2 linked regions of the Neodiprion lecontei genome follow. The protein of the gene in region 2 purifies or fractionates together with the protein of the main gene of each other region. This does not show direct contact. Links are inferred from orthologs where the notes say so. Each region holds a gene or a part of one and is shown on either strand. Other genes may lie near its edges. The genes, in order: protein PAT1 homolog 1 and U6 snRNA-associated Sm-like protein LSm1.

What was found.
Region 1: the proteins of U6 snRNA-associated Sm-like protein LSm1 (region 2) and protein PAT1 homolog 1 purify together in Homo sapiens (co-immunoprecipitation; 3 studies listed by BioGRID and IntAct, with this or other methods). This does not show direct contact. The link is inferred for Neodiprion lecontei from reciprocal best matches to the Homo sapiens genes LSM1 and PATL1.

The regions. Positions count from the first base shown.
Region 1 is NC_060263.1:35,075,016-35,082,207, reverse strand, and holds the start of protein PAT1 homolog 1, read right to left. Parts: upstream 4,799-7,192; 5' UTR 4,684-4,798; coding exon 4,645-4,683; intron 3,897-4,644; coding exon 3,699-3,896; intron 3,458-3,698; coding exon 2,887-3,457; intron 2,778-2,886; coding exon 2,674-2,777; intron 2,396-2,673; coding exon 1,884-2,395; intron 1,780-1,883; coding exon 1,566-1,779; exon of another isoform or gene 1,565-1,565; intron 1,493-1,564; coding exon 1,277-1,492; intron 1,175-1,276; coding exon 911-1,174; intron 823-910; coding exon 565-822; 3' UTR 1-564. UniProt on the Homo sapiens protein: RNA-binding protein involved in deadenylation-dependent decapping of mRNAs, leading to the degradation of mRNAs. Acts as a scaffold protein that connects deadenylation and decapping machinery.
Region 2 is NC_060265.1:26,284,062-26,290,243, reverse strand, and holds U6 snRNA-associated Sm-like protein LSm1, read right to left. Parts: upstream 3,149-6,182; 5' UTR 2,752-3,148; coding exon 2,706-2,751; intron 2,554-2,705; coding exon 2,369-2,553; intron 2,262-2,368; coding exon 2,088-2,261; 3' UTR 1,905-2,087; downstream 1-1,904. Other genes in the region: uncharacterized protein LOC107219128, read left to right, coding at 1-472, 670-1,437; uncharacterized protein LOC107218892, read left to right, coding at 5,170-5,238, 5,877-6,182. UniProt on the Homo sapiens protein: Plays a role in the degradation of histone mRNAs, the only eukaryotic mRNAs that are not polyadenylated. Probably also part of an LSm subunits-containing complex involved in the general process of mRNA degradation.

The sequences.
Region 1 (7,192 bases), on a different chromosome or scaffold from region 2:
ATTATATCAAAACTCTCATTCAATTGTTTGATTTTTAGTCCATCAATACATTAATACATATTTTTTAGAGCGAAGACGAAGGTGTATTAATTTTGAAATATTTGTTCGAAATTTTCAGCCGGACCACTGGATATCAGTAGAAACAGTGTGGATAATTATCATTATTTTCTCACTTTTTTTTCTTCTAAATATGTATATCTCCGATATGGAGTAACTAGCAGATTTTGCTATTTCGTCATAAAAAAGTAAGATAGTTTGAACAGCATTAATATAAATTCTATCAACAGCTATACACAACTGTCTGTGTTTCAATATCTTTTAGAAAAGAGAATATTTTTTTTCAACACTATCTCAAACTAGGCGTAAAATGCATTTCACTGTACTTCACACCGGTTTATGATATCCAGTATTACCTATGTATTCGCTAAGATCACTCAGAGGTAACAAAAACACTGACCCTTCAACATTTCCCATTTTAGTTTTAGAAAGTAGTACGGAAAGTCGCGAAAAAAAAGAATAAGAACGAGAAAAAAAATTCTCAAATTACATATTTTAAAATTGAGACTATCGTGAAGGGTTTGCATCGGTCAACAGTAGTTCCAATGGTGCATACCTTTCAATTTTCAATGATTGAATCCTGTTTAAATGTTGATTAAGAGTATTAGCCGCAATCGGTTCACATGGTGCAACGCTGGGAGGCGTGACTCCGATCGTCTCTACTAGTGTCATAACAAAAGTTGACCAATCGCCAGCCATCGTATCCTCAACTGGAGATAATGTTTCAGCTTGTTCTAACACCGAGGCTATAACCGATACTCCAAACTGCAGTGACAATAAACCAAATTAAGTTAAAACCACTGTAAATATGTAACGATCAGACGAGAAATTGCGAGTCAAAAATGGTACAAACCTTGTTTGTTAAAGCAAATGCTAGGCTGTTGTTTTTTAGTGGTAGAGATGCTGACTCAACCAATGCCTTCGCTAGGCGTAAAACAGAGCCGAAATCAGTTATGGTATGTAACCACCTTCGAAATTCAGGATAAAAGTTTGTCAGTAAATGAGAATCCCTGCGTCCTATAACTACCAATCCGCGAACCAATCCAGTCCACAGATCGCCTAGCTGAGAGCTGTATTCAGTTACGCTCATGTGTGGCAGCAGTCGAAGTAACAACATCTGCAATTGATTTTCCGATCACATAAAGGACCATTTTGTCAATCGATGTATGACGTTTGTTACTCTACAGTGTTAAACTAGACCCTTCATGTAAATACTGACCTTTCCTTTGCGAATGCTGAGCAAAGCGGCTAATTTATCATTTCGCAATATTTGCAGAAACGAAGTTATTAGTTTGCCAATCAGTTCAACTTTGGACTCTTTGATTGGTTTCTTTTCTCCTTCTCCTTCCTGCTGTTGTTGGTGTTGCTGTTCAGCTGCTGCTAATAGAGCTAAAGGATTAGTCAGATCTTCGAGCTTTAACTGCAACGTGTACAACTGGAAAAAAAAGAACAAAGAGAATAACTAGTTGAAACATGATGTTGAATAATTGTAAACATTTCAAACTTACTCTTTCGATCTCTAGTAGAAGTTGACGTGTTTTTTTCGAGTCTTTCTGTTGTGAATGTGGTGCTTGCTGAGGATCGTTGTTTGGAACCACGTCCATGTCAATTATCTTGCGAGGAGCAGTCACACTACCACATTGAAGCTTACCAAGCGAATTTTCAAACTGCATGGGCGTGTAAACTACCTTTGTCAGTATATGTTGTTGCTGATCTCTATCCCTGTTGTGATATACAAATTATTGACATTTAGAGAATAAAATATTATTATCGAATTTATGAGCTTTGTTTGGTTTGCATGTCGAAAAAATATCGAGTATATCTACCTGGAATCTCTATGGTGGCCATTGTTGTTATGATGCCTTCTGTCCTTGTGTTCCTGATTTTCGTTTAGTTTGTTTTGCCTGTCGCAAAATACAGTGTAATAATAATCTTCGACATATGGCTGGTTGGTGTTCAGTTGCAACAGCTGGATGTTGATCAGCCATTGTTTCTCACGATTACTCATAAGGCCGGCGTACTCATCGTAGTCACCCATTGGACCACTCGATCCATTCATACCTTGATAGTGGTGCTGTTGATGATACCGTTGATTATTTCGGTTGTGATTATGATGAGGGTATTGATTGTTTTTGAAAAATGGCTGGTGAGTAGGTGGTTGATGACCAGATGGCTGGTCATTGGAATGGAACGGTCGATTATTCTGAACTGTTCGCTGATTTCCTGAATGGGGAGAGTGCTGTTGATGATGGTTCATTTGATTGTTAGCAAATGGCGGCATCATCGTTTGTTCAGGACGCAGTAATTGAGGTGGAGGGAGTCCTGGATAAGGTGGTTGCTAAAAGTAAAACAAATACCACTTCAATTTCAGGTGTTACATTACTCCTTCTCTTTGCTTTCACTCCTCTCAACTACTCACGAACTAATCTTTATGAGAAATTTTTCGTTACTTTAGGATCGCTACAAATTTTGACATGAATAATATTCCAATATTTATATATTATTTTCAGATTCAATATCAAGAACAAAACCTTACTGAACTCAAAACTTTTTGACTTTTCCAAGTTTTACAGATTTGTAGCAAACCTGTATTCTTTCATGTTATGAATAACTTACAGGATAATTATTACGAAATGAAGGTGGTGGAGGCTGCCTTTGAGCTCCTGGTGGCATCATCAAATGAGGAGGCATAGGGTACCTTAGCATATTACCTTGTTGATCTGAAAAAAACATTGAGACACGATTTGGAGCAGTCAAGTTTCACATACAAAATTTTTTTACCAACATGATAATGAAAATGCTTGAAAATATATAGATGGTTCTACTCACTAGGAAGCAGTCTGTGGTGCTGCATAAACTGAGGTGGTGGTGGTCTCACTTGAGGAGGTAAGATGACACGAGGACCTGGAAGGCCTAATCCTGGGGGAAAACGAGGAGGTGGTAGGCCTTTCATTTGAAGTTCACCCAATGGTACGGAATCGAACAAGAATGGTCCACCTGATGAATGTTGTTGTTGTTGTTGCTGCTGCTGCTGCTGTTGTTGTTGTTGCTGTTGCTGATAGTGTAATTGTTGTTGCTGTTGCTGTTGATGATGGTGCTGCTGCTGTTGCTGCTGCTGCTGCTGCTGTTGTTGTTGTTGTTGATGGTGCTGTTGTAGATGCAGTTGAGGAGGTAGAGGTTTAGCAAGACCTGGAGGCGGTCTACTAGCGATGAGACCTCGCTCCAATTCCTCAACAGTGCAGACATTTTTAAGGGTAGATGAAATCGAAGGACGCTGTTGAATTCTGGGCATAGGAAAGCTCGTTGGGCTGTCCCAAACACCTGGTCGTGGCGTTGTCCCATCTCTATCATCTAGTACCAAGTGTGACAAGCTATCTTCGATATCTATTTCAATGCCATTCTAAAAATGAAAGAATAAAATATTGTGCTTTAAATTGCATCAATCTTGATTTTAATAATTGAACTATCCAGTAAATGCAATATATAATAAAACAATCTGAATTTTTGTATTCCAAATCGGGGCAAAATAACAAATCTGTGTATCATACAAGATTAAAATCAATCATTAAACTTGAAAAGTAGACTGCTTGTAAAAAATCTTAAATTTTGCGGAATCTTGCCCAAGACAAGCAGTTACAAACCCGGTGCAAAGGTAAGCTGGGCGGCTGCTGTCTACAGGACTCGGTGATTCGGGCCAATTTCTCATGATCTTGCTCCCAATCTCCACCTGTTGCTTCCGCTCCGAATGTTTCATCGTTCAATGCATCATATTCATCTTCTTCACCAATAATATCTTCATCTTCCAATGGTCCATCAAATCCATCTTCTAGGCCATCACCCTGTTAAATTTGAGGAATCATACAACAAATGACAAACATTCATCAATCCAGTAGAGAACACATGCAATAGATTGAACGTGCCAGTAATATCGGATGTTATATTTTGCAAATAACCCGAGATCATATTACTTGGTATTTTGACGAATTGGAACTCTGGGTTTCAACAAATAAATATTGAATGAGAAAAAGAGATCAGAGCATTGAAGTGCAAACAGAGACACCTTACTGAGTTGACAAATTAATTTTGAAACTGTTGTACGTGCGAAATTATAGAAACATAACCTATGAGTTATGGCTGACGGTTGAGCTTGGAAGCCGCTGAAATTCTCAGAAAAATCTTGCGAGATTTGATGAAATTTTCACGGTTAGCGACATTCAATGTTATTGACCTTTCCGGGGCGGGGATAATGAAAGACTTAGGTTATGTATAGTACATTCGTGGCCGTATCAGAGTTCACATCCGTGAAAACGTTGTTTGCATCTCGGCTGGTGCAGGGTTAATGTTTAGCGTAATTTCCGTACATGCGAGCGTAAGAAGGATGAGAGATTGTGAAACGTCGACGTGAAATATCATAAAAGGCATTAGCCGCGCGATATGCTATAAAAATAACAAATTTTCGATCCATGCTGTACCGCGACGCGGTCGAAACGCGAAAAAATCAAGGGTTTCCCATCGGCGATACCTTTCCAATCGAAGGAAAATTCCGAACAAATTTAACGAGAAATAATATAGCCAAATACAACTTACAGCGAGAGATGTGTCAAATCCGAAAAAAGAGTCTGCCATTTGTCAAAATTAAATTCGCAAAATGTCATGATCCGACTAAACGTCAAGCGCTGGAAAAGACATCAGCTGTCATGGCGGTCACGACTAACCACGGACTTCCCGACAGGCTTTCGGTATTCCCCGTCAGAGAACGCAACACATCGCGATGGGTCAAATTCACTGTCCCTGAAGCCGCGTTTTCAACCAGTGTTTCAACCTCTCATTTCATAGATGCCATTGATTATTTGCCACGTTAATCAGAGAATGGTACGAAATTTGAAATACGATAATCAAATCATTTGTTCATGGCCCAAAGTACGCTAATAAGAAGGAATATCGAGTGCTACCTCAAAATTATACATATTACGTCTATCTATTGCCCTCTCCGATAGTTCCGATTTCCACCACGCATAAGCGCTGTAATAGGTATGAAACCGGAAGTCAAGTCCGAACGGATCCCAAAGTATTCAAGTGTTCTGGCGGGTTCACGTTTAGCTATGTCAATTCGCAGAGTGTTCCACGAAGACGAAAAAATATACTATAGCGAAATTTTTGAAAATTTGAAATTTTCTTCCAATGTACAGGATTCTTTTCACCTGTGTTTGTTTCAATTCACGTTTGCTTGACTTGTTTATCACCGAAAAATGCCGAAGACTAAACTTGGGAAAAACTCATCTGTTACTACGGCCTCCGACCGTAATGATATGAGCTTTACCCGGTGATGACAGTTGAAATATCCGAATCAACGTCGTTTAAGTCAGTGATTTAAATCTTTTTTCATCCTAGCTTTTCCTGAAATTGTCACCATCGATTTGTAGGATAACGGAATTGCCACAATACAGGAAATGAAAAATATCAAATACCATTGGCGATGGTTCGTAAGAAATATGCTTTAACTTTTCAAAACGATATCCTCCTTTATTATCATCATTATAATAATCACTTTTATTATCTCTTAATCGAGGTATAATTTATCTACACTTGTTCGGTCTAAAACAAGAACAACGATAAAACTCGTCAATTTATTTTATTACGGTGTGCTTAGAGTAACGTTGCGAATGTTATACGTGATATAATTTTTATACTTTTGTTTTAAAAGTACTATCAACATTTCATTTAAACTTTTCTTTAGTCAACATGGTATTGTGCTTGTACATACATCATACAGACTATATACGTGCGAGTGTGATTCATTGTATTCTTGACTGATTGTGCATACATTGCCGTGATAATAAATCACATACCTATATTTATAGATACAGACAGTTTATACTTATTTGTTTTATTCATATAATTGAACAATCCGAAATCTGAGCTTCAAATCAGCCTTCCCGATATTTCAAATCAACTTCTTGTATAAAAGTACAAAAAAATGTTTTTGGCAAACCATAGAAAAGAAGAATTTACAATCTGAACAATATCTGATTGTGAGAACATTGACGATACGAAGAGTATGCGGAAACACAACCGAGGAGTCAATTCTTACTTCTGCGATGAAATAAAGGATTCTACGAGAACAATTGTCCGGCCATAATTGGGAAAGGCTGTTTATTTGTGTATACCGGTTGTTTGTTTTTCCTCTCTCTTTTTGGTTTTGAATTCATACGATAGTTTAGGTATGACTCCGCATATGACTTTTCTCTTCGAACTATCCGTTAAAACATAATTAATTTTATAAAATAATTTTAATTTATGATAAGTTAATTTGTCTTTCAATGAAAAATTATTCGAGATTTTCAGAAAAATTGTTTAATTATCAGGCGAATAATGTTGGCACGATGCTTAATATAATCAGAGAATTTGGAATTCTTGTCCCGCGCCTGGACACTGGCGAAAGGTGTTACTTCAAAGTAATTTTGTCCTCTTTATGCCGGAAGTGGTTCTTTTTTTTGTCAAACTCATAACGATGGTAATCAATTCAATTTTACCAAGAACCCAATAAGCTATTTTCATTCCAACCCTAATTTGGAAGTTACAGAGTTTTACCTAGGTCGAAAATTATTCGTCATAAGTATTTCGACTCCTCCTACCTATAATATTCAACGATAAATTATATCTAATTTGCCTCGTTTCGTATACCGATTAAATACGTAATATCACTATATCGTCAACATTTACGGGTATTTGGTATTATTTCATTAGTTTAATATATCGTTTCGGCATTATATTATATACCTATATGTATACTTAATTCAAGAGGAAATACGCCCGTCGTTTTGTTCCCCGAAAAACTCGCTAATTTGCCGAGTAATAATATGGTATATCTAAATTAGTTCATAGATAATTATTTACGTAGATATCATAGTTATTAGTTTGCGATTGACCAGAATCCGTTGATAGTAACAACGTTGTATGTGCTTTGCAATTGAAATTAATTTTTTTAATAATTCGTTTATCTCTCATGCAGTATATGTCCAGAGTGGGGATCGTATATTTGAAATTTTAAAGCAGTATTTTAAACTTATACGTTCAAGTTTTTCTACAACTCTTTTTTTCTTGTTTACGTTAGAGTCTTCCGCTGCTTCAATCA
Region 2 (6,182 bases):
AAGCAAAGCTTCCAACTTGCGAGATATTAATACCTCAAAAAATCTACGATTTTCACGCCAATTAAGTGAACCTGAGAGTTATTCGACAGAGGCTGCCTCTAATATGAGTGATAGCGAATTCGTGAGGCAAAATTCAGACCCGATATTTCCTGTAAGAAGAAGACCCAACATAGAAGTGGTTTTTCCTCCCAGGAAATCTATGCCTGATATACAATCTGAAATTTCTCCACAAAAGACAGAAACTTCAGTCTCTGAAACATCAAGCTATTCAGCTTCAACAGTATTGAGTAGATTCTGCAACACATATACGGCACGTACATCGACACCAGCTAAGAATTTATTACGAAAAAGTCTAGCTGCTGCTACTGCTGCTGCTACAGCTAATGAATGCACATTGACGCCCATTGCATACCACGACAAAAGCATGAGCCCAATTACTCAAAGCACGACGAAGATGAGTAAAGCTATGCAGGTATGCATGTATTCTGCACTTTCTGTTTTCACTCTTCATCCCGTCATTTTTACGTGTCTATTTTCTATTTATGTGCTCATTGTTTGCATTTGGTTAAACCGCATGTCCGCTACTACTCGATATAAAAAGGTAATCTCAAAACGTAAAAATGAAGAAGTCATGAAAATTTTATCGAAATTAATTGAAACTTCTGACAGGAAACTATGATGACTCCACGCTCAAGAAAACCAGTGATGATGATCTCTGGGTCAAACTTATGCAATCTTGCAACATTAAATAACGGATGCACACCATGCAGTTCTGGTTCGAACATTCAAAGACCAAACTTGGATCTTACACAGAAAAAAAGTTGTACATCCATTTTGGAAGAGTGTCAAAAGATAGACAGTATGAGTGGTGAGTTGGTACTAACTGACAATCAAGGTAATACAGAGACCAAAGAAAACTTCGGAAATTTAAATGAGGATAGAAATTTTGTGACCTCAATAGAAGACGAATATTGTAACGAAATAATTGAGGCAAGTAGCGTTTCCATATCAAGTACATTTCGAGAATATCTATTATCACGAAGCGTACTAACTGCGAGTCCTGTTGACTTAAGTTTCACGTCTCGTACTGACGATTTTGACCAATCTGAGTCAGATTTAAATATTCTTAACGAAGATAGACTATCCGATAGTCTTCTGCATTGCTTAGATGGAAATCAACCTAGTTCCGATACATCTGGCATAGTTTCTGGTAGTACCAACAGTGTCAGTAACTCTCCAGAGAAAATTGATGAGGTTATTAACCAATCACCAAGAAAAAGGGGAACGAATCTCCAGCGTGACGATTCTAAAAAATCTGTCACTGACAAAAAGGTTACAAATGAATTGAAATTTCAAACTCTATGGAACAAACAATTGAGTGAATCTACACTGAAACCACTAAAAGCGAAGGAAACATTACAAGAGACTTCTTTTTAAAGTGGAATTATAGTATATACATTGAATCTAATGTTCAAACCTACTTTTACGACACTTCATTGTGTAGTAAAAATTGCGTTGAACACTGTTACAGTTTTACCTAATGTGTTTTTTTCATTTGTTTAAATTATTAAGCAGTTTTTATTATTATTTACGTAATTTTGAGCTGTCTATAAACAATTAAATCGTATTAGTTTGATATCGAATACGAATTCTGTGCGAAATTTTTGTATAATGTATAGCAAATAGTTTGCTACGTGATATTTGTACTAGACTTCAATCATATGCTAAGTTTTTATCATATTAGTTGTAAATGACGATGATGAATGTTGTGGGTTTAAATATTTAAAAATATTCTTCATTCTGAATGAGCCAAGAACGAAATTCGTGACAGTTCATTATAACTATTTGTATAAAAAAAAAGAGGTAGAATAACAGATTTTTCGAGATTCATTCGTACCGGCAGATCTGTGTATCAATAATATATTTTCATATTATAGCGCACGCCTTATGTATAACAATTGTCTGTTGTTTTTCTTTCACCTATTTCCCTTTGCTTTCACAGAATTGAACAACTCTCTGAACATTCAGTCAGACTTATGTGATGACGAGGATGACGAAAATGAACTTGTTGTAGGAATAGATGTGGGTCAGAACATGTCATCATGCCCCAAATCCGGAATGTAGGAGAGGCCTCGTTCTTTCAGAGCTTTGCTCATCAGTTGTTCTTGATCTTGCTTCAATTCTTGCTCTCGTCTTTGAGCATCTAATATATCATCTACGGGCACCTGAGATAGTGGCAGATCCTTTTCCTTGTCCCCATCCTGAGGTGAAATTCAGTAAGTTTATAGTGCAGGACTTTTGCGCCAGCGTACAGAGCTGGAAGACTAAAAATATTGATTTGCTGAGCATAAAAAAATTGAGTGCTTACTATTTCACCCAAGAGAACAACATTCTCGCCTCGGACGATGAAAACGCCCCGAGGAATATCTCCATATTCTTTGCCGACGTGAATTCTTTCGATAGTTCGATGAAGGACCAGGTTGGCAAATTGATCAACACTTCTGAGATATCCGATAAGTGTTCTACCATCTCTTAACAGAACCATTAGCTTTTCTAAACGAACGGTTCGGGCGTGATTAATTTATCTGGTGTTACTGGTGTAATTGTTAATCAAAATATTTACATTTATGGTTAAGTGTAAACATAACCTAAATTTCGATAAATCGCTAGAACTAACGGTTTCCAACTAATTACATCAAACGTACTGTCTAGTTCTTCGAGGAGGGACGCTGTTCCGGGCACTACGTTCATTTTTCAGAGATTTTATATTAATTAAATCAAAGACTGGTTACTCAGCTACCGATTCGCTGATGCGTTGTACCCCACAAGTAACAACGCCGGCCTTCACACACGTAGGTATGTACCGTATGTACATAACGTTAGGCAAAACTCAGGGCAATGACGAACTCACTGGGGCGACAGACATTTCCGTCTGTTCCTCTCTAACAGAGATGTCTCTACTGACAAACTTCGACAATCTTCAAATTACGAAAAATTCGAAAATGCTCAACGATGATTTCCGATTTCCACCAACTGTGGGCGTGTTCGGTAATTGACTGACCGTACTGTCAGTAATGAAAATCTACAGTATACGTCACTTGGACTAAACCGTTTTCAGTACTGACAGAACTTTCAGTCAATTTCCGAACACGCCCTGTATGACGTGTGGAACGCTGTGAGCAGCTAAAGTGGGAAACCCCCTGAAGCGATTAAATTAAAACCAAAAGTAACAAATTACATCTATCGGATTAATATATACCTTAGGAAGGTCGGAAAATATTGACATCATCCACGTAGGAAGAGGACGGATTATTGCAGAACGATAGCAACATTGATCAGTTTCAAATCCGCAATAAAAGGCATTTTTTGCCGATCCACTGGTATAAGAACCAAGGTGTACCGGAACGATATTGTGTGTCACGTAAACTATACTTTGGTAAGTTTTGGTACCTGTACCAATGGCTCGCCAAAAAATGCCAAAAAATGCCTAAAAATAGTACTTTGTTCGACAGCCACAGTAGAACCTCGATTATCCGAATTAATTAGGACTGACAATGAGCCTAGTTCGTATAATTGATTTCAATCGTCAAGCAGTCTGCATTAAACATCTAAGTACGTATAGAACCTTTTTCAAACACCAAACGCTTATTTTATTACTTTGGTTTTACATAGTCGTCCATTGTCAATTAAAGAACGGCTGCTACACATTTTTTAGCGACCAACGTTGTATATTTCACGCTAAAAATATATTTTTTTAGTCAACGTCCGGATAATTAAGCATAAATCAAGTCATGGTTTGGATAATTGAGGATTTACTGTACTATCCTAACTTTAGAATTCGCGTTCAAGTAATTATTCAAAGACATTTGTAAATATCACTTTTTCCAGGACCGATTTCATTTAGAATATATCGAGTGTGATTAATTTGATTGGGATCAAGGTACCTACTTGATTTGAGAAGATATACACATTGTTTTAGTTGTATGGTAATTCGACCAAGTGTCCTTTAGTGACAAGAGGCTAGGCATTCTTGACATTTCAATTTTGTATCGATTATTTCTTTTTTAATATTGCTCCAGGAGTAATTAACTACTTGGCCATGACCTTGAGGAACGATGCGTCAGAGTGATTGAACCAAAAATGTATATAAGAAAATGCAGAATACATCGCAATTACGCGAACTCAGCCCCAATATATTTGGGAAAAAAATTGACGTATCCCTCCCTTTTCGGTAGCCTGCGATTGAATTGTATATGCGATTTTATTCCCAAATATTTTGCTTTTCTATAAACAATGCGTAATCTGCGAACGTATGACGCAAATATACATCTGCCTGCGTGCAGTGGCCTGCGTTGTTACATTATAGAGCTCAAAACAAACACAATGCTAGAATGACTCAAGGAATCTTACAGATACAGTGACTTTTACTGATTGCCAATCATGCTCAAGTATTTTATAATGTCAAGGATAAACATACGTACACATGTAAGCTTTTACGTAACTCGATGCGTAAATTTTGTTTCGTATTTCCGTGTCCGATCCATCATGCCTTGAAAATATAGTGTTACTCCCGTCCTAATACAGAATTCTCTCGATATCGTAATAGTGCAATAGGATGATAGAAAATAACGAATCACAAAATCACGGGTATAGACACATTGGAATGTACAGGTACCAGTGTCACGGGACGTAAACTTGGGCATGCCGACCTTGCGTTGTACCGGAAAGGTGAAATAAATCTATATCTTATAGAATTTTTTTCTGCTGTACTTGATTCGGAAGCGCGCCGTAACTGCGCTGATTTCAAGATTAATTGTAAAACTGCTCCGCTGTAACGCCCTTTCGTCTGTTGCATAAAAACGTTTTGGTCCCCGGATCCGAAGGCGCGAGACAAGTGTGAAATCCTGACAAAAGTAAAGTAGGTGGTGCCCGGCGTTGACTCCTTCATCCTACGATATGTTGTATATGTATATCGCTCTTACTTTCACTCCCGGCGCATCTCGGCAAGCCAGGCAAAGGCCTTCCAGCGGATGATCCTACGATCCATAGACAATGTAATTGGTAGTTACCATCGAGATTGCCTGGCCGTACGTTCGCCGGTATTACGGTCCAAGTGGATACTCGGCTCTGAATCGAATCGCTCGCGGCCGATTCAAGCTTTTCCACAACATGGCGGGAGACGTTTTTACTCTGTTTGTCGTAATCACCCTGACCGCTGCAGAGCTCCAAAAATTTTTCGTGAGTTACTATCTTACTCCTGTTAATTTTTTTCTAAATTAAAGTTATCCAAAGTTTACTGTGTCGTTTTATAAACATCAACAGTTATTAAACTCGCTGTTTGAAGTTATTTTAAAAACGCACGATTGGTTTTACGCATATTTTTATTGTACCGATCTTAAGTACGTCCGTCAAGTTAAAGTAATTATGACTTATGATTACATAGGTATAAATTCCTTCAAACTGTAATAAATCCAGCAGCCAATTATCACCGGTTACTTCGAACGAGTAAGACTTTTGGTCGATATTATTTATGGACTTTTTTTCTCTAAACGTTGGTCGATTTTCAACTTTGTTGTCCGGAGAGAACACGGACTTGCATACCGATTTTTGCATCTTGAGTGCGACTGCTGCATTCGAGGCTGCCCGTAGTCGCGTAGACAAAGCAGAGGACCTTCAAAATGAAATACAGTGACTTTTAGCTTTTTGTGGCTACGTAGGCATGTAGAATTGCGCAACTCGAGACTGCCTCCGCTTCTTATTCATGCGTGGAGGTAATGAGGCAGCGTAATTGCCGCAATGACCTCTGACAGTATGCGGTACGATTGTGAGTACGGACTTGGATGTGAAAATTGTCTGCTTTATCTTAATGCCCGCAGAATACGACGGCGCAGCCAATTAATACCAACTTCACCTGCGCCGGCCGCCCGACTGGTTACTACGCCGACGTACCGTCGAACTGCAGGATTTACTACAACTGCGATGACCAGGGCAACAAGTTTTCTTATCTCTGTCCCGAGATGACCGCCTTCCGGCAAGAGGCTCTGATCTGCGATCACGCGTACCTCGTTGACTGCCAGGCGGGAGCTCGGCTCGGCAAAATGGCCCACGAACCTTCAACCTCGTCAGAATTCACCTCGACTACGACGCAACCTAGTCGATGGATGACGGGCAATCTCTTCCGC